Danio rerio: one gene and its partners. The protein of the gene in region 4 binds, or shares a complex with, the protein of the main gene of each other region. Links are inferred from orthologs where the notes say so. Each region holds a gene or a part of one and is shown on either strand. Other genes may lie near its edges.

The links. Proteins that work in one complex are often made in the same cells at the same time.
Region 1: the proteins of sumo1 (region 4) and daxx are in contact, whole or in part, in an NMR structure (PDB 2KQS), measured with the Homo sapiens proteins. The link is inferred for Danio rerio from reciprocal best matches to the Homo sapiens genes SUMO1 and DAXX. Residues at the interface, in NP_001005781.1 of Homo sapiens: Lys17, Glu18, Tyr21, Ser32, Ile34, Phe36, Lys37, Val38, Lys39, Thr41, Thr42, His43, Lys46, Leu47, Ser50, Tyr51, Arg54, Gln55; in NP_001135441.1 of Homo sapiens: Glu731, Glu732, Ile733, Ile734, Val735, Leu736, Asp738, Ser739, Asp740.
Region 2: the proteins of sumo1 (region 4) and sae1 are in contact, whole or in part, in a crystal structure (PDB 3KYD), measured with the Homo sapiens proteins. The link is inferred for Danio rerio from reciprocal best matches to the Homo sapiens genes SUMO1 and SAE1. Residues at the interface, in NP_001005781.1 of Homo sapiens: Asp30, Ser31, Ser32, Glu33, Ile34, His35; in NP_005491.1 of Homo sapiens: Thr179, Lys180, Val181, Ala182, Lys183.
Region 3: the proteins of sumo1 (region 4) and senp2 are in contact, whole or in part, in a crystal structure (PDB 1TGZ), measured with the Homo sapiens proteins. The link is inferred for Danio rerio from reciprocal best matches to the Homo sapiens genes SUMO1 and SENP2. Residues at the interface, in NP_001005781.1 of Homo sapiens: Asn60, Arg63, Leu65, Glu67, Gly68, Gln69, Arg70, Ala72, His75, Glu89, Tyr91, Gln92, Glu93, Gln94, Thr95, Gly96, Gly97; in NP_067640.2 of Homo sapiens: Asp386, Lys394, Leu395, Arg396, Trp410, Leu411, Asn412, Asp413, Glu414, Thr440, Phe441, Pro444, Lys445, Arg456, Trp457, His474, Val477, His478, Trp479, Met497, Gln542, Gly545, Ser546, Asp547, Cys548, Gly549.
Region 5: the proteins of sumo1 (region 4) and pias2 are in contact, whole or in part, in an NMR structure (PDB 2ASQ), measured with the Homo sapiens proteins. The link is inferred for Danio rerio from reciprocal best matches to the Homo sapiens genes SUMO1 and PIAS2. Residues at the interface, in NP_001005781.1 of Homo sapiens: Tyr21, Lys23, Val26, Glu33, Ile34, His35, Phe36, Lys37, Val38, Lys39, Thr42, Lys46, Leu47, Ser50, Tyr51, Gln53, Arg54; in NP_004662.2 of Homo sapiens: Lys466, Val467, Asp468, Val469, Ile470, Asp471, Leu472, Thr473, Ile474, Glu475, Asp479.

Annotation. Positions count from the first base shown.
Region 1 is NC_133194.1:8,084,489-8,089,647, reverse strand, and holds the start of daxx (death domain-associated protein 6), read left to right. Parts: upstream 1-1,989; 5' UTR 1,990-1,991; coding exon of another isoform or gene 1,992-2,039; 5' UTR 2,040-2,055; exon of another isoform or gene 2,056-2,172; coding exon of another isoform or gene 2,173-2,247; intron 2,248-4,251; coding exon of another isoform or gene 4,252-4,320; intron 4,321-5,159. UniProt on the Homo sapiens protein: Transcription corepressor known to repress transcriptional potential of several sumoylated transcription factors. Down-regulates basal and activated transcription.
Region 2 is NC_133190.1:26,187,598-26,192,711, reverse strand, and holds the start of sae1 (SUMO-activating enzyme subunit 1), read right to left. Parts: upstream 3,171-5,114; 5' UTR 2,997-3,170; coding exon 2,896-2,996; intron 2,221-2,895; coding exon 2,109-2,220; intron 1,662-2,108; coding exon 1,488-1,661; intron 1-1,487. Other genes in the region: zc3h4 (zinc finger CCCH domain-containing protein 4), read left to right, coding at 4,563-4,642. UniProt on the Homo sapiens protein: The heterodimer acts as an E1 ligase for SUMO1, SUMO2, SUMO3, and probably SUMO4. It mediates ATP-dependent activation of SUMO proteins followed by formation of a thioester bond between a SUMO protein and a conserved active site cysteine residue on UBA2/SAE2.
Region 3 is NC_133181.1:12,355,035-12,360,204, reverse strand, and holds the start of senp2 (sentrin-specific protease 2), read right to left. Parts: upstream 3,171-5,170; 5' UTR 3,043-3,170; coding exon 2,879-3,042; intron 2,411-2,878; coding exon 2,355-2,410; intron 1-2,354. Other genes in the region: zgc:112416 (uncharacterized protein C21orf58 homolog), read right to left, coding at 4,835-4,880. UniProt on the Homo sapiens protein: Protease that catalyzes two essential functions in the SUMO pathway.
Region 4 is NC_133181.1:10,602,880-10,608,025, reverse strand, and holds the start of sumo1 (small ubiquitin-related modifier 1), read right to left. Parts: upstream 3,412-5,146; 5' UTR 3,310-3,411; coding exon 3,298-3,309; intron 2,532-3,297; coding exon 2,460-2,531; intron 2,318-2,459; coding exon 2,240-2,317; intron 1-2,239. Other genes in the region: nop58 (nucleolar protein 58), read left to right, coding at 4,925-4,969. UniProt on the Homo sapiens protein: Ubiquitin-like protein that can be covalently attached to proteins as a monomer or a lysine-linked polymer.
Region 5 is NC_133180.1:42,367,832-42,372,946, reverse strand, and holds the start of pias2 (E3 SUMO-protein ligase PIAS2), read right to left. Parts: upstream 3,171-5,115; 5' UTR 3,136-3,170; coding exon 3,112-3,135; exon of another isoform or gene 2,781-3,111; intron 2,115-2,780; exon of another isoform or gene 2,030-2,114; intron 1,687-2,029; coding exon 1,218-1,686; intron 1-1,217. UniProt on the Homo sapiens protein: Functions as an E3-type small ubiquitin-like modifier (SUMO) ligase, stabilizing the interaction between UBE2I and the substrate, and as a SUMO-tethering factor.

The DNA.
Region 1 (5,159 bases), on a different chromosome or scaffold from region 4:
CCTTATTGCACCAGACCGCACACAACAAACCAGCTGATTGGTGAAGAGGAGACAGAATGATGAAGCCAATTATGACATGGGGATTGTTGGGAGGCCATGATAGACAAAGGCCAGTGGGCAGATTTAGGTTAAACCCTTCCCTTTTTCAAAGGACTTCCTGGGATTTTTAACAACCACAGAGAGTCTGGACCCTGGTTTAACATCTCAACCAAAAGATGGCACTCACTGAGCAGTACAGAGTCCCTGTCACTATACTGGGGCATAAGGACCCACACAGACCACAGGTTGGGTCTCATCAACAAAACTTCTGACAACAACCTAGCTTTCACATGTGGTCTCCCATCCAGGTACTGACCGAGTGCAGCCCTGTTTAGCTTCAGTAGGCGACCATGTGAGAGTCGCAGAGAGCTAACTGCCGGCATTGCCAACATTTCCTTTTCAAAGTGCCAACAATGATCCAATACCAGTTCCAAAAGTGCATTCTACTATTGTTCTCCTGTTGTGCTTATAATTAAACCATGCATGCACTTAGTAATAAAACATTTCTTACATTAGACTTTGAACTCCAAAACATGCCTCCAAAACATTTATTCATCCATTTTCCTTCGGTTTAGTCCTTTTATTCATCAGGGGTCGCCACAGTGGAATGAACCAGGAACTTATCTAGCATATGTTTTACACAGGGGATGCCCTTCTAGATGCAACCCAGTACTGGGAACCACCCATACACTTATTCACACACATACACTACAGCCAATTTAGTTTATTCAATTCACCTATAGCGAATGTCTTTGGACTATGTGAGAAACTGGAGCATGTTATCTTTGGAAATGTCAACTGACCCAGCTGGCACTCAACCTTCTTGCTGTGAGGCGACAGTGCTAAGCACTAGTGGTGTAAAGTAACTAACTACAAATACTCAAATTATTGTATTTGAGTATTTTTTCTCAGGAATTGTAATTTACTAAGTAGTTTTATAAATGTGTACTTTCACTTTCCCTTGAGTACATGTTTAGTGCTTTATCTGTACGTTTACGCCACCACTTTCCTTCAACCTGCAGTTACTACTTTATTTTTTCTTTGTCTTGTCTTTTATTGTCAAATTGCATATAGGAGGTACTTTTTACTCATACTTTAAGTAATATTTACAACAGCTATACTTTTACTCTACTTGCTCTACATTTTTAGGCAAGTAATGGTACTTTTACTTATGATTTTTCAGTACTCTTTCCACCACTCTGTGGTCACTGTGTCACCCTTGGGATTTTGTATTTTTATTTAATTTTGAAATGTATTTTAAATACATTTTTAAAAGGTTAATCTGTTGATTGTGCTTTTTATGATATGCTATTAAGGCCTACTTTATATAAAATAAATCTTTGAAAAACATTGCTCTATAAATTGATTAATTATTTCTAATTAATAATCAACTCATTATTAACCCTTTGATGCACTAAATGGGTCTAAAGTGACCTGTCTCTGCTTATTTTTTCTATATCTATTTTATAGCTTGTGCATCAAAGGGTTAATACAGTTAACAATTAATAATTCAGCTTATTTATTTAATTTGTTATTTTATTTAATTTTCTTCAAAATGTAGGCCTCTGGTCTGGTGTTTGGAAAAATAATAGAGATTTTTATTGCCTGTTTTCTTTATTTTCTTTTACTCTCAGGTAGCCAGCACATAATAATTGTAGAATTCAACCCTCACACTACTAGTGGCTCCCTGATAAGTATCAGTTTTGTTTCTGGAGAAGCAAAACACTAGATGAGCACCTGCTAGCGCTAAGAAATTAAATTTGCTTCATTACCACATCATGTTATTGTTATCTGAAGAACTGTACAATCAGTTTATTCTAGAGTCTCCAGTTCCCTACGAGGCGCTGATACGCATCTAAATGATTAGCGTAGCAAACAGATCGCAGAAGAAAAGCAAAGCATTCACCCAATCAGCGATCAGTATACTGACCGTCAGCGAACCAGCGCGCCGCATGTTGAGCTGTACAAAGATCCAGCGCCGAGTTTCAGGATCCGAGCGCGTAAGTTCGTGTTTTTTGTCTATTATTGATCGACTTCGAATAAGACTTTATTTTAAACATAATCACGAAGCGTTTGCGAAGGTTGTGAGGAAACTGACAAATATGAAATTACACCTTAGCTATCGTCGTTTTAATGCTTTTAACAAATAAACGGAAGGAGTCTGTATGGCATGTCCGAATTAAAGAGCTACAGTCTTCAAACCAAAAGGCAAAATAACTGAAATTATTACATTTATATTTATGTTAAGTGTAAACAGTGTGAAAATCTCATTGACACATCCAGTTAAATCTGGTTGATATGGTATTAAGTCAGTCAAAAGACATCATAAACATAGTTACCGCTCAAATTCACTCGTATTGTTATTGTGTTATAGGAGACGGATGTGGAGGCATATTATTGGATATAGATACATGTTATACGTCTTGTGTGGTTTTGTTTAATGTCTGATAATTCTTTTTATCAAGATGGTGACGAATCATAAGTACTAGTTAACCGAGTTTGTTGTGTGTGAATCATCATAGTTGTGTCACATTATCACATGATCGAAAGCTAGCAATATGAAGTAGCATTTGGCTACGATTTTAAGATTCCTGTCTTTAAAATTCTGGTTAGATATTTAATTATAGTATTTCGTTTAACTATGTAATGTTTTCTCTTCAATTCAGAAAAATAGGGACATTTTAAACGTGGCTTAGTATATCAGAACAACAACAACAACCAGAGAAACCCACATATCTGTCATAATTTACGTCAAATAAACTCTATTCCATAGATAAAGTGAACAGAGTGAATAATTTCACATTAAGTGTTTTCTCCCCTATTTAAGTCTGTTATGAGAAAAAAAGCCTAACTGCTTATTGTTAAGGAACATTAAGCCGTGTTAAGCTTATCTTATTCCTTACTTGGATTTCAATGGGGAGAAAACACTTAATGTGATATTGTTCACTTCATCTATGGAATTAGAGCTTGTTCATTTTACAGTAATTAATGTTAATTACAAATTTGACAGAAATTATATACAGTTTAAGTCAGAATTATTAGCCCCCCTAAATTATTAGTCCTCTGTTTATTTTTTTCCTCCAATTTCTGTTTAACAGAGAGCAGGTTTTTTCAACACATTTCTAATCATAATAGTTTTAATAACACATTTCTAATAACTGATTTATTTTATCTTTGCCATGATGACAGTAAATATTATTTGACTAGATAACTGCTTTTATGCTAGCCGAAATAAAACAAATAAGACTTTCTCCTGAAGAAAAAGTATTATCTGGCATACTGTGAAAATTTCCTTGCTCTGTTAAACATAATTTGGGAAATATATTAAAAAAAAAAAAAAAAAAAAAATATATATATATATATATATATATATATATATATATATATATATATATATATATATATATCAAAGGGGGGCTAATTATTCTGACCTCAGCTGTAGATGAAGTTTTTCTATTTCCACATTTGGACTTTCTCCTTAATATAATCTCATAAAAGTATTTGCAAATTCTAAATGGAGAAATTATATTAGCAGCCGATGACTATCAATGTAGAACATTGTTCACAGTCAATAAAATGGTGCTTATGTTGTTTTGAAGTCATACGTAAATGCAATTTCAGACCTAATATTAAAAGTAGTGTGGTAAACAATTTAGAGATCGTTAAATGAATGAATGTGCAAATATATCACCAGCTTTACCTCAATTTAAATAATGGTTACACACACGGCATTGTTGGTTTACAAAAAAAAATTAAGCAAATATAATCCTGTTGCACGTCTACATTTGATTTTGGTTTTATTGTAAAGCAAACTCAACCAGAAATCGTATTAAAGTAGAATCTGAGGTAATTTATGACATACTTCAAAAAGTAAAGATGATTTAGTGTTCAAAAATGTTTTATTTTGAATTTTTTATTTATTTTTTAATACATTGGTCTTATACAGTTCATGTTTTCAGATTTTTCATATTACAGTATATGTATTTATTCCAGGTACGTTTACTGTAAATAAACCAACATATTAACCATTTGGTAGAGGTTGATATTTTAGAAATTATGGGATGTGTTGACAAAAATTCATTAAACGTGTTAACTATCGACATTGGGAGTTAAGAAATGGAATTCCAAAACTATTCTTGGTTGGGGAGTTAAAGGGTTATGCGTTTAAGCGTTTGTCCCAAAAATGACATTGTTGATATTATTGTTTTCCAGGTAAATGCTGATTTTGAAACACCAGTTTGGATTTTGACTGTCTTGATCAATTCAATGCTCAGTGCTCAAGTATGTACAGACAAGCAGAATACATAAATATTAAATATTTAAAACGCATACCTATTGTGTTGATGTCATGATAGATAAACCATGCTCTTGGATATGCTGTTCTGTAAAATACACCCAAAAATATCACCTTGTCCCTTGTACATTTCTTACATCCTGCTAGTTTCAGTTTCACTTAAAAATTGATTTGACATTTAAATGTTGTTCATATTAAGGCCATATAACTCCTTTTCATTTTAACCTTTACATTCCTTTTTCATTGGAGTAAAGTGAAACTGTTACAAACTTTTGATTACTGAAAGCTTATTTGGCCATCAAAACTGAATATTTTTTTTTAAAGGAAAAAAAACATTGCCCAGAAATCCCCTATTTTATAACTCAAAATGTCTTTTTTCCCATTTTAATTTAAAAACGTTTTCAGTTTTAATGGTTGAATTACATTTTAGTAATTAAAAAGATACATTTCGATGAACAGGACAAGCTTTTTGCTGTTACAAATATATATTAATACAATTATATTATACAATTTCATATTTAGGTAATCTGAAATATTCTTCATTTTTAAAAATCATTTTAAGATTAAAACATGAATAAAATGTTGTGTAATTATTTTTATTTTTATATATAGTTATGATTAGGGCTGAAGAATATATTGTTTCAGCATCAGTATTGCAATGTATGAATCTGCAATAGTCACATCGCAGGATCTCCAATGTTGAGTTGAGATTTTAATTGTGGAGTATAATTAATTGTGAATAAAACTAAACCCTAACTGTGAAAGATTGTTTTTGGATGTGTTTTTTTTTTTTAAGACCTGTGACTAGGATTTCAAGGAAATTTAA
Region 2 (5,114 bases), on a different chromosome or scaffold from region 4:
TTAATTCTAAACTTGTATTCAAACAAGTATAGCAGGGTGAAGGAAATACTAGGCTTAATTCTTCTTTAAATTAATGTGATCATTTAAACTTTTGCAAATATGTTTTTTTTTTAATTGGAAAATGTATTCCTTTTTGTATGACTATGTTGAAAATACAAAACGTCTCTTGTATTGTCAAAAGTATGAGAAAGTGCTTTTATTACAGGGATTCATATATGTTTTCATATGAAGAGTTCAGATGCTATAATCTCTAAGTGCAATCTGAAATTTCGTTTAAACTAGGCATTTTTCCAAGACTCCTATATTTATGTTCTCTAATTTAACAATAAAGGTAATAAAAATAACATATTGACAAAAAAGAGAAATTACTCAACTTAAACACAGTAGCCTGAGAAAAATTTATAATTTTAGGAGAAAATTTCAGATGGCACTTAGAGGTTTTTGCATCTGAACTCTTTGTCTATTTTTAAACATTTCAATAAAAAATATCAACATCTCCTTGTTAAGTGTGAGGTCATGCAAAGTTGCTTCCAGGTCCAACTGCTTTATCAAACTGTATGGGAAGGCTCAACAAATGGAAATAATAAACGTTTACAAAGCGATGTAATACTTTCAAAAATCACGATAGTAATATAAATATCCATGCCTAATAACCGGTGGCCAGAAAGTGATAAATTTTTATAAATAGTTATAATATTGGTGTCTGTGATGTAGCAAGCCCAGAGACTATTGTGTACATCATGATTTTATATAAAATCAACTCTAATGTGTGATGTAAAATGGTCATGAACAAATATTTGCTCGATTCAAATGAGAAGCGGCTTAGACCCAGAAACAGTACTCCATACGTCACGACTTAACAAGCAGACAGTGAGACCAAAACATAACTCACTAAGTTAATAATACATTTAGACAACAATATAAAGCGAAAAAAAAAAACAATATAATTACATTTAAAGAAGTTTATTTACTGTAGCGCATTGTTTATAATTTATTATTACAAAATAAATGGATACAAATTATAGTATTGATCAACTTTAGGCATTTATTGTGATTGTTTTGAATTGTTTGCTAATCACTTTTTAAATTATTCACACACACTCTTTTTTTTTACGCCTAATACTTTCAAAAAATCTAAACCTTGTATCATCACATTCATTGATTTATAACCTGAACTATGTAAATAGTACCACATTTTCAATTTAAAATGACTATATTTGGGGAAAAAAAGTTGAAAATAGTTACCACTGGATATTAATTTCAGCCATTTACCACTTATAAATAGTTGTAAAATATGAAATGCCTCTTTTTAAGCAATAGAGCATTTCCGGATGGAATTAGCTCTCTGCCTTTGCAAACTATTATTCTGTGGTTATTATTTAAAGAGTGTCTATTACTATTATTATTACATATAAAAGCCTTTTTGTATGCTTTATTTATGTAAATTATGCAGTTTCCAGGAATATAATGTTGGCTTTGTAACTCACCGCATCAAACTGAAAGAAAAAGTCATCTGGTTTGCTCTCCACTGGTTCAGTGTCTGCCTTTACTTCCACCATGGGGTTGAGGAACTGAGCTCTCTCCAGAGAGGCCTGAGCATGGTTCTGACCATCTGCATCCACAGGAATCAAGAACTGAGCGCGCCTGGACTCTTCAGTCACCTGATCGATGGAAGTCATAAGAATTTTTTTTGCCAAGTTATATTTCTATTAATGTGCTCATAATTCAATTTTATTGCATTTCTTTTAGGGCGTCAAAGTGGCGCAGTGGGTAGCACGATCGCCTCACAGCAAGAAGATTGCTGGTTCGAGCCTCGGGGGGTCAGTTGGCACTTAGCATGCGCTACAGGGGAATTGGGTAAGCGAAATTGTCCGTAGTGTATGTGCCTGAATGAGTGTTGGTGTTTCCCAGTAATGGGCTGCAGCTGGAAGGGCATCCGCTGTGTAAAACATATGCTGGATAAGTTGGCTGTTCAATCCGCTGTGGCGACTCTAGATTAATAAAGGGACTAACCCAAAAAGAAAATGAATGGATGTATCTCCTTTCCATTCAATAAAGATGTCTGATGAGTGCAATGCTAATATGCTAGACAGCACTTTATTTGATACCTGCTCATGGTCCAGGAGGGTCAGTCCTTTGACTCCAGCCAAAATAAGATTCTTTGCTACTTCTGCTCCAAGACCTCGCAGACCAACAAGAAGTACTCGTGATCCCCTCAGTCTGAAAATGCAGTTATGTTTGTTAATTACTGTACTGGTCAAATGTTTGGAAACATGGTGATTTATATGTTGTTAATAAAGCCTCTCTTGCTCACCATGAGTGAATTTATGTGCTAAAAATTAAGTTAAAAAAGACCATCATTATTAAATTGCAGTCTAAGGTGTCACACTATGCTTTAGAAATCAACTGTATATTATGTATAACTGTATGAACAGTTACTTAGTGCCACTTTGTAGAGACTGTGACCTAAGAGCATTCAAATGTGTAATGTTTGTGCATTTATTTCAGAAATTCACATAACATATTAGATACTAGAAAACTTATTTTTACATCGTGTAATACAATATGTGTTCACCTTTATGCGCATGTTGTGAGCATGAGAGACTATTATATAACATTTAAAATAATGAAGATTTAAAACATTTGACAAGTACTAAACACGTACATAACATTAATTCATTATTATGTTGGCAATATACAACCAGTAAGTTACGAACATTGTTTTCACGCATTGTATTTCAGACGACTGTGAAAGATGGATTAATCACAATAATTAATTACATTTAACCCAACTTATAATTTATGTTTTTTGCACACACAAACAATCATCTAAAAACAAGATCCATAAAATATGATTAAGTTTTGTTTTTTTGCTCGAAACCTTTATCCACGAACCTCTTTTGAGCATCGAGACCCCACAGGCGAATCTGGCGATCATATTGTGCAGCTTCCTCCTCACTAATAATAGTGTCTTCTTTTTCGATGGTATCGATCATCTCGGAATATTTGTATTTCTGATGATAAGCTGTAATCAATTAACTACGGGTTAGTTGGACTATTCTACGCTCTATTTTTTCTATTGCCCATTCAATGGGACAAAAGTGCCGCTTAGTGAAACTCGTAAAGGCGCGCAATGATGACGCAGGAGATGTGTGCCAGAATCAGAGCTCGACAATGGACATTTATCAGGGATCCTTTATACATCTAGCGAGCGTTAAATGTGTCACCAAAATATGTCATGTACATATGATGAATTTAATTTTTAATAATGCATAATTTTATGAGCAAAGGTCCGTTCATGGTGTTAATTTAACTTAAAATTTCTGTCCAGATATGAGTGAAAATGGTGCATTTTACTATTTTATAATAGTCTACTTGCAAAGAAATGGAAAAAAGAAAATTAGTACTTTTTATTTTAAGAGACATTAAATAATAAAGAGTATAAATAATATAGAGTCTTCTTTATTTTTAAAAATATTCTCAAAGGATTTGACAAATCATTTGACAATCATTATAAGATTTTCATTCATTCATTTTCTTTTTAGCTTAGTCCCTTTATTAATCTGGGGTCGCCACAGCAGAATGAACCGCCAACTTATCCAGCATATATTTTACGCAGCGGATGACCTTCCAGCTGCAACCCATCACTGGCAAAATAAGATTTTAATTTCAAACAAAATGTAATAGTATAATTTACAATAATAATGGTTTTAAGCAAACATAAACGTGACAGAATTATATTTATTGGAGTGTAGATCACTATTAATAGCATTAAATGATTGTTTTCTAGATCTGTGCTTGCAAAATAGAATCAAATAAAAAGTTGAGTTGTATAAAACTGATACTTTAGAGTTATTATATTCAATTATATATATATATATATATATATATATATATATATATATATATATATATATACATATATATATACATATATATATATATATATATATATATATATATATATATATATATATATATATATATATATATATATATATATATATATATATATATATATATAGGTCCAGAATAGGTATTGAAACATATGATACCAAAGATAATGCAATGTTGATATATTTTAACTGCAAGGCCCCTTTTTTGATAAAACAGTAATAATACAATGAATAATGATAATAATAATGATGATGATAATAATAATAAATACTGATAAAAATAACGTTTTATATTAAGATATTATGTGCATGATTACAGTTAATATATACTATTTTAACTATTACATTACCCTTAGAGTAAAAAAAAAAGTGTTTTTTTTTCATGACCCGATCGGTCATTTCCGTGACAGTCGACGTCACGTAAGTCCGCCCATTCTCTTCGGAGAAGAAGCGTCGCCATTTTAAGAGAATGAGTTTCATTTCACATCGCAACTGTAGGACGGAGAACCTCAGGAACGTTTTCAACCTGTTTCTCTTTTAAACTGTTAGGGGGGAATTGACTACAATGAACTGAATCTCTTCCTAATGCCAATCAACAAGTAGATCAAAGTCAAGTAACGCATAAGACAGTTGATTTTTTGCACTGAATGTAGTACGTTAGAGGAAATGGCTGTGGAAAGCATGACTGTCCATCCAAACTCCCCAACAGCCAACCACGAACACAACAGCCTTCTCACTGACGAAAGGTCGAGTAATATCATCATATTTCTATCCAACTATTGATTTGTCCTTTGCTTTTTTCCAAAAACAAAAAGCACGGGCATTTGCTTTTTTTCTTTCAAAGGGATTAAAGTCGCCTTTTCTGGGAAACGTACAGAGGTAACGAAACGCCATCTTGAAACGTTACACAGCGCAATCTGGAAGGTCACAAGCGAATCAGGAAAACATTCAGAATATGATCAAATTGACATTTTCAGTCACTTTCTAATGTTTTTTTAGTGATCGAAGACCATGGGGCCACCCCTACGTCAAAACATTGATCCTGTAACAGTGTTTTCATCACAGATAAAGAACAGATGGACAAAAGAAATCACAAGCTAATTTTTTTTTGTTATAGACCTAAAATTAAACTCCGACTTATTACCACAACGCAAACCGTATGTTATGTGGTAAAACTGATCCCTTTTTACGCATTAAGGAATTTGTTTATCCATCGCG
Region 3 (5,170 bases), about 1.8 Mb from region 4:
TATAGTATAGTAAATATTTATATCTATTTTTTACTGAGGATTTGCACCATGTTTATTTGGACTTTATTTGGACTTTGACACATTATTTATTATTTTCTTATTTTTATTTGTTCATTGTAAGTGGTGTTGTTTATAGTAACTGAAAATATATTATTTGGAAAAAGTCAAATTTGCTTCACTGTTCTATTATTTTGTAACATTTGTAACATACCGTATACCGCGAAACCGTCAAACCGTGGTATTGTTTTAGACGATTATCATACCGTGAAAAATTCATACCGTTACAACCCTACGGTGTTGTATCGAAATCTGACTCCCCACTTGCGTGCACGCACGTTACACAGCGACTGCAGCTGTCACAGCGGTTTATCAGAAACCTTTTATCAATCATTTCTTTTGCAATTGACAGTAAGAACGAACATAGAAGCCTTGTCAAATTGACAACCAGCACCTGAATGTGTTTAAAAGAATTAAAAACGCCAAAATTTGACAAATTTATTTACGGATTATGAGGTCAGTACTAATTACACAACAGTCTCATTTTAACATTTACATTATAACACTTAGCTCTGCGTTCTGGTGTTATAATGACTGTTTACATGTCTATGCTTAACCAGCATTTCATCACAGTACTCTAAAATTATTTAGTTACTTCTCATATATCTATAGTCTGTTCGTTTTCATGTCCTCATTTAATAAAACATGTTTAGTCAAAACAAAAGAAAAAGTGCAGGATTTTGTACATGGAGTGAAAGACTTATCTTTAGATATCTTCGATATGTGCACTGTTCAATAATTGTGCACAATACAGACATGTAAATGTGTAACTAAAAAAAACATATACAGCTGATTTAATTGTCGTTTATAAATCACAACTATGGTTTGCAGAATTTCTTATAACACTGTAATTGTGATAAAATACTGTGCGTTTCATATTTACATTCAATGTGGTTCTTTTTTATCCTACAATACTTTTTGTTTTGTTACTATTTAAGTGGGTTCCTTTTTTGCTCTGACAATGTTCTCTATGGTTCTGTTTACTTTGTTATTTGCACAACAGCACAGAAGTGCTGAGTTCAGTGTTAAGCAGGAAAAAAACGCACTGTATTTATCAAAGATTTTTTTTTATAACTTGAAATGTTTTGCAACTTATAGTTTTAAGCAGGAGAAAAAACTGAACTGTAATTTATTTATCAAAGATTTTGTGCAGCTGTTTATTTGTAAACAGGGAGGGAACCCTCTGTGGTTGAATTATATTTTGCTCAAAAATTGTTTAACAAAGGCTTTAACTCTCAAGTTACCATTTATGGCAAAATACCAGATATATAATCGTATACCGTCATTCCTCCTAAAAGTACCGAGGTATGATTTTTTTTGCCCATATCATCCAGCCCTAATATGTACAAAACTATTAATAAGCCAAACCACGCTGACTGGATGATTTGCAGCTCTGCTAGCTCAGACGAGTGCTACAGAGATCACACAGTATTTTCAGCGCATCAGTGTTTTCAAAGCAAATATTTGAAGATATTTTTCAGACTGAAAGAGAAAGTTGTTGTCACAGAACCAGGTGTTTGATTGTTTTTACCCTCTTCTTTTCACATAAGTCATATTTTAATAATTTGCTTATTATTATTTAAAAATGTTCAAGATTATCTCTTCTAAAGTGTATCACGCTGATACTTATAATAATTAATTATACAAATAATATTAATTATTCACCTTCATAATCATGTTTAACTCTTGTCTCTATCTATCTAGTAATTTTATAATCAGTATTTTATGCCAGCGTACAGTTCTCTGGACCAGAGAGCCCATTGACCACCTCTGTACACAATGCTCTCACTTAGGAAAGGCTTACCTCTCTAGCGATCTCAGTCCCCAGTGAAGTAGTTTTTTCAGCAGGGGACATTGTAAATGTGTAAAGCTTATGCCAAAAAAAAAAAAAAAAAAGATATGCAACCGTTTCTTTTTTTATTTAAATGTAAAATCCCAGCAGTCACAGCTTTAGTTTGTTTTTATTAACGAGTCTTCTTCTTTAGTTAGTATTATTCTTTTATTTTTTTATTTTTGGAATTTGATTCTAAAATAGCAATATAGTTATGGCAAAAAATATATATTATTTTGCAAAAAATGTGCAGCATTTAAGAAAAAAATAAAAAGGCTCTTCACCTTAAATTTGTTTAAAATTATTTTGTTAAAAAATCGTGACTAAATCGTGAGATTAGTATCGTGAATCAGGAGTCAGGTGAATCGTTACATCCCTATTTTCCATATCACAACATCTACAGCAGTATATTACAGATTTTCCAACATTGTGCATTTCCATTTTTATTTATATTTAAAACATTTACCATGTCTTGCTCTTTTGACTTCTGGGTATTCTGACACCCCATCAGTGGAGTAGACGCTGAAACACATAAAAAGATAAACATGTTATAAAAAGGAATAATCTTTATAAATAAAACACAACATAAATTAACGTTAGGCTCACTAGGAAAAAAAACTGACACTAAAACAATAATTTATTTTAAAATCACGAATGTTTACACATTTACACAAAAGCATATTATAATAAATATTGTCAAATCAAAAGTCTAGTTAATGCTACAGCAATCTAAAAAAAATAATTTACATTATCTTTATAGTGTAACATTAATTTAATTGTGATTGTTTGCTGTCAATCAAGCGTCTATTGATTAATTGTTTACACTGGACTGATTCCTGACCCTGAAGTCAAATGCTAATAAGCTACACTTGCTATTGTTCAGGTAACTTACAATAACAAACCACAGACTGGCACATGTCTATGCAAGGCACTGTGTAATAAACACAAAAGCACAAATTTTCATTCAGACATAAAGAAAAAGACGAATACCTCTGATAGTTGCGTTTGGCGGGCCTGCTGTTCTCCTGCCGCTGAGTGTCTGTGGCCGCGGCTCGCGCTTTACCGTTTGCGCGCTCACTAGGCCAGTCTTCGGATTTCTCAGCAGAAAGAGGCAGGAACAGCGACGATAATACGTCAGCTATCCATTCATACATTACAAACCACCACGAAGAATAAGACTCTGTTTCGTTTGTTGGGGCCAGGTCTATAGTGGAGATCCCGCAACCGAAAATTCAAGCCACTCGTGTTTCAATAGCCTTCCGTAGCCGTGCTCTGCGTCACTGATTTGTCAACTGCGACACCATGGCACTGTTTATCGGTCAAGCCCTCCCACTCTGCACTCCGCCCGGAGATTAAAGTTCCTTTACACCACGGTTTAGCGCTAGGGAGTTTGTCTTTTCGAAAAGTTATTATTAAAATGGCACAAGCTAAATAAAAACACACACTTTAATTACTTACATTTTATCCATTTAAATTCCACTCTATGTACGCCGATTTAGAACTTTTTCATCTTGTGAAGGCAAATCGGGCAACCAATCACAGGCGGCACTGGGCGTCACGTGACTCAGAAAGGCAGAAATGCTTAGTGGTTGTGCTGTTTTCTTTCACATGTTCTATGTCAAAAAACCTTTAACAGCACAGAAGGCGTTTCGTCATTACCTGATATGACGTAACTCCATATTTATGGCGTTCAGCTTTGTGTTGCGCAAGACGATACTGTACTGCAGCTTTAAATATAGCATGGCAAAACAGTCACTGCCCTTACATTTTTACTTTTAAAAGTAGTTTTAAAGAAAGAAAACACATCTGAATATCTTTTAAATATATATATATATATATATATATATATATATATATATATATATATATATATATATATATATATATATATATATATATATATATATATATATATGCTATTCCGAAAAACAAACAAAACCCTAAATAAAATAATGTTATATTTTTCAAAAATACTATATAAACTATTTTAAAACTATTAACATAACTACATAAATGAAGACTGAAGTAATTAAGCTGAAAAATCATTTTTAACATCACTGGAATAAACTATTAAATTAAATTATAAACAACGTTTGAACAGCTATTTTATAGTGCAATAACATTTCACAATTTTACAGTTTTTACTGTATTTTTGATTAAACAAATGCAGCTTTGGTAAACAGGATCAGCTTATTTTAAAACCAAAACTTTTGTCCGGTAGTGTGTATATGATTATAAAAACATCATTACATGTGTGCTTGAAAACATCATTGTTTCTATACATGTAATTACAGTACTAATGAAATCTGTCAAATACTTAAACAATAATTGTAAAGGAGAAGAGTAGAAAAATAAAATGCTTTTGTTCAAAAACACAATTTATGTCGATGTAAATTCTGTCTTTGGGAACGTGGGATCTGTCTGCAATGTGGCTTGAGAAAACAAAGAAGCAAATGAGATACTGGGAGCTTTCTTAAATTGTATTTATGTATATGAAACACATTTATTTTTTAGATGAATTTACCAAAATAACTTACAAATGAGAATAGAAACAATCAGAACGACACAAAGATGTCAATTAAAGTTGTAAGTGATGCGTTAAGTCCCAGTCTAACACAATGTTTCTTTAAATAAATAATAATATCTATACATACTGTATGTGTGTGTGTGTGTATATATGTATATATATAGGGATCAAATTACACAGTAAAACAGCAGAGTTCCACACAATTCCTTCATGTTGTCCCAATACAAATCGATTAAGCTACCATAATTGTTTTTGCAAATTGAAGTGGATTGAACATAAAGCAATGAAGTTGTCCTAAAAACAACTAAAATGTGTTAATTTAGCTCATTTTAAATAAGTAGTTTAAACAAAAAAGCTAAAACTTTGTTTTAATGTAGGAGGATTAGGGATCAAAAGCAAAGAAGAGGCAGAGTTTAACATCATTGTCCAGTTGGAATCCTGGGATTCACCGCATCAGTTCCCATACTACAAGAAAAATCAAGACAGAAATTAGTTAGCTTAACGCTAAACTGAACATTTTCTGAAAAGAGGCGCAAAATACCCATTACTGAAGATAAGGCATCTCTGTATGAAACCTTCACTATTATGACTAAATATGCAGCTATGGAAAAAAATTAAACCACTTGAAAATCAAGTTTATCTGAATTTAAAAACCATTGTTTATGATATTTCTACCTTTTTTGCATAAAAGAAAACAAAAGTTTCATGTTTTCAGTCAGGTTTAAATAAATTTCTGGACAAAACAATATATCAAT
Region 4 (5,146 bases):
ACAAGCCTGATAAAGGTTACCCACACCGTACTGATCTATACCACACTGTATGATTTGGTTGAATTGGTTTTCTTAAAAAAAACAGTAAATAAAGAGTAAATGAATGAGAATAAACTTAAAGACTAAATACATTCACCTCCAACACACTGTAATCAATCTTTAGATATGGAACAAATATAAAACAGCAAAGTAAAGTCAGATGTAAACGATCGCACACTCTCGTTATCAGTTTCTAATCAGAGTAATGTGGAGCTGAACATTTTTACATTAAAAATACACACTTTTAAAAATGACAAACAGCGGTGTGTAATGAAAATACAAGACTTGAATTCATTCAGTTGTTCTAAACTTCTCAAATCGTTTTGTTTAAAGCAAATTCTGATATTGTCTTTGTGCATTTTCTAGAATAATGGTGCTGTTCACAAAACCATCGCCAACCAACTAAGATCACAATTTCCTTCATTACAAAAATAGTTCAGCAATTCAGTGTTATTCCAAATATACATCCATACATCTTATAGCAAACATTCACAAACAGCATCACACACTTGGTTGGTTGGAGCTACACCTCTAGAGCTGTAGTTAGATGCAGAGTTCCAGGCTGTGTTCTATTCTGAATCATCCACCCTATGCCCTTGTCCATTTGAACACAAATACTCTGAATCATTTAAAAACATTAAAGGTTGTCTTGTTCACATTTTATATTAAAGTTATTCTTATTACAGTTCAGTTTATAAACTTCAAATTGACAACTGTGCTATCTCCATAGTGCACTCCCATAACATTTATGCCATTTTAAACGCAGCAGTGACTCGTGAAGAAAGCTACATTTACAATCAAAAACCTGTTTACACACTTCCAGCAACTGTTAAAACAAACATTTAAGGTAATGATTTTAACTTGTATAGAAAATTGATCTCTAATATACTGTAAAAATGCTATGGTCCACACATTTCTTTTACATGGCCCATCATAAATTGATTAAACTTAATTTTTTTTCATAAATTTAAGTGGGCTTAACTTAAAACAATTAAGTTGTCCTCAAGAACACAAGTTTCAGCTAATTATATATAAGTACTTTGAACAAGCCGCAAAAGTCTTTTTTTTTAGTGTATATGATATATGCAACATTTCTGCAGTGGTTTGAGTGTTTATAAAACTGTAATAGTAATTTATTTAAATACAAAAATATACTTTTGTAAAATGTAATTTCTGAAACATGTAACTTTATAAGCAACAGATAAATATAAATATATTTTTTACATCTTTGACCATATACATATATATATATATATATATATATATATATATATATATATTTCAGAATTAGATTGCATGTCATTATATAATGGGTTTATGTTTTATTTATAATAGCAGAGAGTATGATATGGAATATTGTCAATAATATTTGTAAAAGAAAGTAAATACTTGTGTCGTTGCGTTTCATTTAAGAAAGCAGAGATAAAGAAAAGCCGAGGCAAGCAAACTAAATGTTTATTACCAAAACTCATAATGGGTAAAAATATATATATATATCCTGTGTGTAACAATATTTTCTGTACCAAAACTAAAAGCATCTATTAATGTGAATTTCCTCTTAATAAATTGTTACTCCACCCCCTTTAGATGATCATTACAGACGTTTTATGTTTTAACTAACATGGTTCAAATAATTGATCTGAAAGAGAGAATAAACTGTCCAGGGGTCTCATTTATAAACATGGTATACACAAAATTGGGGGTGGAAACACGTGTACGCCACTTCTTATACAGGTTATTATGATCTATAAAAAACAAACTTGACGGGAGAATGTGCGCAGCTTTAAGTAAACACATTTCGCTTAAATATTGACTTAATTCAAGCACTTTAAATCATCATAAAAGCCATAATAATTAATAAATAAATAAAAATGTATTCTGGTGTACATTCACTTTTAGGAAAGTTTCTATGCAATGTTTTATAAATGAGACCTCAGGAACCTTAACTGAAACATACACAACTATTTAAACATTGTTTTTTGTTTCGGCAATGACGCATTAATTTGATCACAGTTAAGATTTTTACAGTGTTAGTGTATTTCTATTTGTAACAATACTCACAATAATACAGATTTTATGCATTTTTGATTGAATAAAAGTAGCATTAGTGCGTTTTTTAAAAATCCTACCCACCCCCCAAAACCTCTGAATGGTAGTGTAGATTTATCGTTATCCCTCATAAATGGAAAAACTGACTCACCTGTCTCTGACTGTAGGATTCCTTCAGCTTCTTTAAATGTGTCGTCATCTTCACTTTAAAGTGAATTTCACTGTTGTCCTGCGAAATGAAAGGAAATCATCAAATCTGTTCAGATCTTTTCATATATCTCATTATAAAAGAACAGCTGGATTGGTTTTAAACAGTAATGGGTTTAAATATGAAAACCTGCATTTCCTAGAAAACAAGTGCTTTTGCTCACCTGACCGATCACTTTGAGTTTAATGTACTCTCCATCCTTCTTCTCGCCTCCATCACTTGAGGGCTTGGTCTCCTATTAAAACAAAACAAGCATTCGATTACTGCATGTCATATTGTTTTTTTATCAGATTTAATGTAATGAATTAAAAAAATATCTTGGGACTGAATTCAATAAAATATTGACTGAAGATCGTATAAAATAAGGTAGATCCGATTTTAATAAATTATAATTATATATATATATATATATATATATATATATATATATATATATATATATATATATATATATTATATATAAAATAATATTGTGAGTGTTGTTATCATTTAAACACTAGGCTGTGTGTGTGTGTGTGTGTGCTTTGAATGTAAACACACAACCTAACGTTACTCTTCTATCGCGAGCTGTTAATACGAGCACAAACCGAACACAAACTAACGTGAACAAATAACGAATAATCCTAATGAACATATCAAAAAATCAACAATTAATAACTAATTCAAATGTTCAGCATGGTCTATCAGCTCAAGATATTATGAACTCTGCTTTCAGGGCCCAGAGCAGCTAACTAGCACACATGCTAATTGGACGATTTGAGGAAGAAATTCACATATTTTTGGCATTTGTGAACACAGTAAATTGGACTAATGTGTAAATTGCGAGAACCAGAAACTATGCACAGTTAAAAACACTCAAGCATTTTTATCAAAAATACTTTCCAAACCACAGTCAGCTAGACAGGCTAAAAGCTGGGCCCTCTTATTTTCATTTTCTATAAGTCCGTCTTTCTCGTCTGCTCTCATGAAAGTTCGATTCAGCATCACAGGTTTAGACTCACCGTGTCTGACATGATATTCCGCAATGTGCAGCCCTTCTGTAGATCAAGATTGTTTGATTTAAACGATACAGTGTTATGTACAGTAATGAGAGGTTTTGATAGTGCTACCAGCAGACCCACAACACAGCGCCGTTGACGTCATTGGAAAGGGGCTGGACTTTCTATGACACTGGGTCGATGACCCAACGAGCGTTGTTTTTCTCACCACGCTCTTTCTGATTGGCTCCAATCGCCATCTGCGATGTTGCTATTGGTAAAACATAGGGAGGCCCGTATTTTGCAAAAAAAAAAAAAAAAAAAACACATCAGTATTTTGGTCACGAAATATTAGAGTGCAAAAATAATGTGACAACTACACTACACCTCTGGAGGACGAAACCTGCAAAAGCAACAAATAAATAAATACGCAAATAAATAAATTAATTAACACATGTACAAATTCCTTCATAAATAAAACAGTAAATAAATACGCAAATAAATAAATAAATAAATGACTAAATATATACACAAGTTCCTACATAAATAAAATAATTAATAAATAACTACACGAATAAATGAATAAATACTCAAATCCCTGTGTAAATAAAACAATAAATAAATAAATACACAAAAAATAAATAAATACAAATTCTTGCATAAATAAAACAATAAATAAATAAATACACAAATAAATTAATAAATAAATAGACAAATTCCTGCATAAATAAAACAATAAATAAACATGCTAAATAAATAAACAAATGTACAAAATAAATACACAAATTAAAAAGATAAAAAATAAAAAGCAATGAATAAATAAAGTAAATAAATAAAGCAATAAATAAATAAAACAATAAATTAATATGCAAATAAAAAATCAATTAGTTAATAAATTCGCAAATTCCTGCATAAATAAAACAATAAATCGTTTATTTTATGTATTTATAACTTTTAATGCCATAGATTTTAAAAAAGACATTAAGACTAATTCAGTGGATCAAAGGTAATATAAAAAATCTGTATAATGTTACTGAACATTTTATTTCAAATACAGTTTCTTCTGAGAATTTTAGAAAGCTGAATGTATTGTGTATTTAACAGAAATATCAAGCAGAATTATTATTAATCATAGAGCACCAAGTAAAATTGACCATAACAAATTCTGAACTCTCATTGGAATATTAAACATATTTACATACAACAATACAGATATTTAAAATTGAAATAATATTTCATATTATAATTGTTTATTCATCTTTTTGTCTAAAACATTTAAATATCTTTTTTTTTTACAAAACTTTTGTTTAGTATATTATTATTATCATCATCATCATCATCATCATCATCATCATCATCATCATCATCATCATCATCATCATCCTCATTATTTGGAATATGACATTATCCAAAATATTGTCTCTACACACTTTGAATATAAAACTCGAAAACTGAAAATCAACACGAGGTGATGGTGCATGAAAATGAGGCTGAGACTACTGCACATGCGCACATTTCACTGGCAGTATTGCGCATGCTCGTCCTGTCCCATGTGCGCCTCGTGGAGAGAGCGACTTCTTGTAGCGGAAGGCTCTCGGTCTCGGGAGCTCGACCTTAAACTTTATTCAGAGCAAGAAAAGCTGTTTCAAAAATGTTAGTGTTATTTGAAACTGCCGCCGGCTATGCCATTTTTAAGGTAAGCTCATTTTTTTGTGTTAATTAAATGTATTTGTAGCCGTTTTCTTGCAGTTGTGTAGCTTTTACGGTTACACTTAGCTAGCCGGCGAAGTTAGCAGTGCTGTCCGAGACTTTCAAAAAGACAAAACGTACAATCTAAGGATTTTTATTAATGCAAATGCTGTTAGTACATATG
Region 5 (5,115 bases), on a different chromosome or scaffold from region 4:
ATATACTACATTGGTCCACTGTTGCCAGAAATGTATTAATCATGACAATGAAGATCACAAACTCCTTTACCTAAACCCAATCTCATGATTGCAAAACTAAGGCCATGTCTACACTAATCCGGATAAATTTGAAAACGGAGTTTTCCTCTAAAAACGCTTCACGCCCACACTGACGTTTCTATTAGTTTTCCAAAACTTTGTCATCCACACTGAAACGACTACCAATGCTTTTAACCTGTACTGCGCATGCGTGAAACGTAAGACGCTTCGTCAAGCGTCATTTCCGGCTGACGTTTATTTTCTTTCCGGCTCTTTGAAACGTTGCTGCAAAATGTCAAGGAAAAGCACATAGTTTTTTAAATGGACTGACAATGAAGTAGAGTTGCTGCTTCGAGTAACACATGAATACAAAGTTGCAAAAGAGAGTGGAAATGTAGACTGGGAGACGTGCCAAAACAAATACGCCGATATACTGGACCGCTTTAAAGAACAGTATCCTGCTGATGACGCTGCTTACCCTCACAGTAAGGACGACATCACTAAAATCATAATCACAACGAAAATAAAGTAAACGAATTAGTAACATGACTGAGTGTCACATGACAAAAAACGCGTCATCGTTTTCGAAAGACTCCGTTTTCACAGTCTACACTACGACACGAAAAAGTCTTTTTCAAATTTATCCACTTTGGAGAGCGTTTTCAAAAAGATACGTTTTTGTTTCCTAAAAACACGTCTCAGTGTGGATGGAAGGGCAAAACGGAGACAAAAATATGCGTTTTCAAATGAAACGCATTAGTGTGGACATGGCCTAAATTTTCAGCATCATTACTGCAGACTTCAGTCTTATAAGAAAAATAAGCAGATTTGATGCAACAAAAAAAAAACATCAATTTATTTTTATATATTATATACTACCATCAATGTTGAAACCAGCTTGTGCTAATATTTGTGGAATGTTTTTTTTTTTCAAAAGATGTTCAAAAGAACAGCAGCTTAAAATGTGAATTTTTCATTTAATTGAAATTGTCATTACAATCGCTTTTGATCTATAAAAATAAAAAAAAACTCATTGACCCAAAACTTTTTAATAATTGCAAAACCACCAAAACTAAAGTCAGTTGCTAAACTTTAAAGTTATAATGTGAATGCATTGATTTTTTTTATTTATTTTTTTGCTGTGTTGTTGTTTATTTCACCAAGCATGTGACAATTACCTAGACTTGATGGTTTGATCAAGACATCTAAAACATCGTAAAACGGTAAGGACTTCATCTGCACATCCGGATGGACGGGGGCCATTAGTGTCGTGGGCTGCTGCATGTTCATCATGGGCTTTGACTCATGAAACACAGGTGAATCACAGCTCTCCCGGCGCTGCTGCAGGACGTCTGAATGGTCGGTTGGCAGAGTAAGATCTGAGCTTACAGCCGTGGCACCGCTGTCCAGATGAATGAAGGATTTAATGCTTGACTTTAGTGCCGCCAAATCTTGAAGACCTTCAAATGTCCTTGGATATCTCCGCCGATACAGTTCTTTGATTTTGATCTGCACTGCAGAACTACAACCACTCCTCAGTAGATGCAGAGCCCTCAGCAAAAGTTCATGCTTGCGACCGCTCTTATTCCTTCCAGCAAAACCTAACAGTACTTGGAGCTCTGAGACACGGAAACTTGATACCATATTCTGAAAAATAAATCCAGACAAGGCAACAAAAAAAAAAAAGAAACACCACACATTAGTAAGAATACATTTGCCACAGGTTAGTAAATATAACCACCCTCTATGCCATTTTGTGTACTTTTACAACTTTTGTTTTAAGATTTTAGCAAGACATAAACCTTTGCATCAAAATCAACATGGCATAAGCTTGTGGAAAATGGTTATGACAGTTTTTTTTAAACCAAAAAGTGTCATTTAATTAGTAACCAGATTAATTAACAAAGAATTATGTGTGAAGTGAGGTGACAGCCCACCCAAAAAACACCCTTTCAAGAAACCCCAAAGAAATAAGAAAATCTCAACTGACCCTTCATTACACGGTCCATGCTTGATTGTTCTTACGTGTTAATCCTTTTTTCTTTAATAATCCTTAACAAATGACCGAAATGCATCTAAAATGTTGAGAATAATTCCAAGACCCATTAGATGAACATCGAGAACATGACAAAGAACAAAACAGATGTTCACGTTGATCTCAAGAGAAATCAACAGAACTGCTGGCGGGAAACTTGGTTTACAGCAAATCTGGACAATTCTGAACACTTTACAGGACAGCATGAATCAGTCAGTTATGTAATGACAGATATAACAGCAAGTGTCTAACATTAACGTATCCAGTACACACAGTATACCTTTCTTATGGCATGGTTAACGTTTGTTGGAGCTGAATACGTTCAATTTCAGAAAAGTGATGTATGCATCACACTACTAAAGTGCTTATGTTGAGGAAAATATGAAACAGAAGTCAAGTTTGTTTTGTTTGCCGCAAACTATTTACAGTTAGAGCTTGTAAACAACATTCTCAGTGTGTATATTTTCCATTGTTTAACTTAGCAATTATGATATAAAACGCACGTTCACTTTCATTTACACGCACAAAGAGACTCTGGACACGCTGGATTAAACATATGTCTCCCTTGCAAACACTTCTAATAAATCAAGCATCACCTGTGTGTAAGTTACATGTAAACAATGTCAATAGCTGCCGGACGCTAACGTTAGCTAACAAAAGACCAGCCAAAACAAGTCGAGCAGTGAAGAACGTAAAAACTTTTTACCTGAAGCGAACAGTCGTCAAGTTCAGTTAGGCATTATAATAAAGCGTTTTCATGCAGTCAATGGTGGCAATAAAAGCAGTGGCATTTTGAGGCTGATCTTCAACGTTTGTGTAGCATCTCGAGAGCTAAACGAGTAGCGGGTTGGTGGCTAACAGGCTAACCATAACCCGAATAACGGAGGGATGTCGCGTTTCTCTTTTAACTATGAAGAAACTAACGCATCAAAGGCCAACGGACGGGCATAATAGCATAACATAACGTCAACTGCAAAATGCCTTCAGCATGTGAAAGACGCAAAGAAGTAGCCAGCTATCATTGCACTTTCGCCTACCCGTAACTCCTCAATATCCGCCATTTTCTGGCTGCGCTCATCCTGGCTAGTCCGGAGATGTCGAGTCACGTGACACAGGCTGGTTAAAGGGGTCACGTCGTTCATTTGTGCATTTTTATTTTCTTCTGAGGTTCCCTGATTTGCTTTTCCCCTTACCCATATTTTGGGAATAGTTTCCGTTATTCAGTAATCAACCACAGAATCCTTCGCTGTGAACGAAATTATAATTATTTTTCCACAAGGAGGAGATCATTTAGCCATCGAAAAGTAAAATCCTGTTAATCAGTTCAAATTGTTTATAAACATTTTAGTTCAATGTTATGTTTGTTAATTAGTCTTTTTGGGTGGCAATGTTATCTGCAATAATCTAATCCTAAATATCGCAGATATATTGGAAGCGTTTTTACTTGCATTGTGTGATTCCTGTACTCTCTTTCGCCACTAGAAATGTGTTTTGAAACTGTTTTTCTGAGAGTATGTCCTCATGTAAGCTCTAATGTGATTCCAACAAACCTTTTAGCACCAAGGCAAATAAGATGAAGTAAAAAAGCTGTACAGCATAGATGGGTCTCAAACTCAGTTCTTGGAGGGTCGCCTGCAGCTCTGCACAGTTTTGCTCCAACCATAATCAAACATGGCTTATTCAACTAATTAAGGTATTCAAGACTACTAGAGAGGTGTGAGTTGGAGGTGGTTGAAACTAAACTATGCAGAGCTGTGGCTCTCCAGGAATTAAGTTTGAGACCATTTAGTTTATGCTAGTGGTGTTCCACCAGGGGGCAGCAAAATTCTAAGGGGGCCTCATTCATTCATTCATTCATTCATTTTCTTCTTGGCTTTTAGTCCCTTTATTAATCAAGGGTCACCACAGTGGAATAAACCGCCAAATTATCCAGCATATGTTTTACACAGCGGAAACACCCATACACACTGACATTCCCACCCACACAAACACTATGGCCAATTTAGTTCATTCAATACACCTATAGCATGTCTTTGGACAGTGGGGGAAAGGAGAGCACCCAGTGTAAAACCACACGAACATGGGGAGAACATGCAAACTCCACACAGAATTGCCATCTGACCCAGCTGAGGCTCGAACCAGCGACATTCTTGCTGTGAGGAGACAGTGCTAACCACTGAGCCACCGTGTCACTCTAAGGGAGCCTTGAGAATTTAAAATGGTTAAATAAAAACTTTTTTATAATCCACACATTAACAACTGTTTATGTTGTCTTTGTAGATGTTGGAAATCATTAAAAATATCTAAAATATATATATTATGTTTTAGTATACAGCTTATGATTATAGTAGTGTATAGTTGTATACACTATATACATAACTATACCAAGCCCCATTTAACTGATTAACATGTTAAACAACTGAAAGTCATCCAAATGTTGTAAATGAAGTCTTGGAGCCAAAACTTTGAGAACCATTAAGGAACTGTAATGAATTTTGTCTCACGATTAAGTGTTTTTATAGTGTGAACATACCAATTTAGCTTTTCAGGATGACAGTTACAGTCTGTTGTCCAGCAGATGGAGCTCAGAGCTAATCTACCATCACCAGATTATTGACTGAGGGTTTTCGTTCCTGATCAGACCTCTGTTTAACCCAATGCTTACATTTCATATTCTCATTTACAAATTAGAACAGTTATTAATATGCCCTTATTACTACTGAAATAAAAAATAAATACATAAATGAATAAAATCTCTCCCTGTTAAACAACACATGGGAAATATTTTTTAAATAATTAAAATTTGACAGGCTAATAATTAACACACGTTACAAAATGTCAATTAAAAATGACATCTCAAATATAATACTACTACTACTACTACTACTACTACTAATAATAATAATAATAATAATAATGAAAATATTTATTTTTATTTATTCTTCTACGGGACTGTAGACTACCTGGATCACTGTGGTGCATTCTACAAGATAAATATAAAATTAATACAGGCAGCATCTGCGACTGCTTGAGTTTGTGAC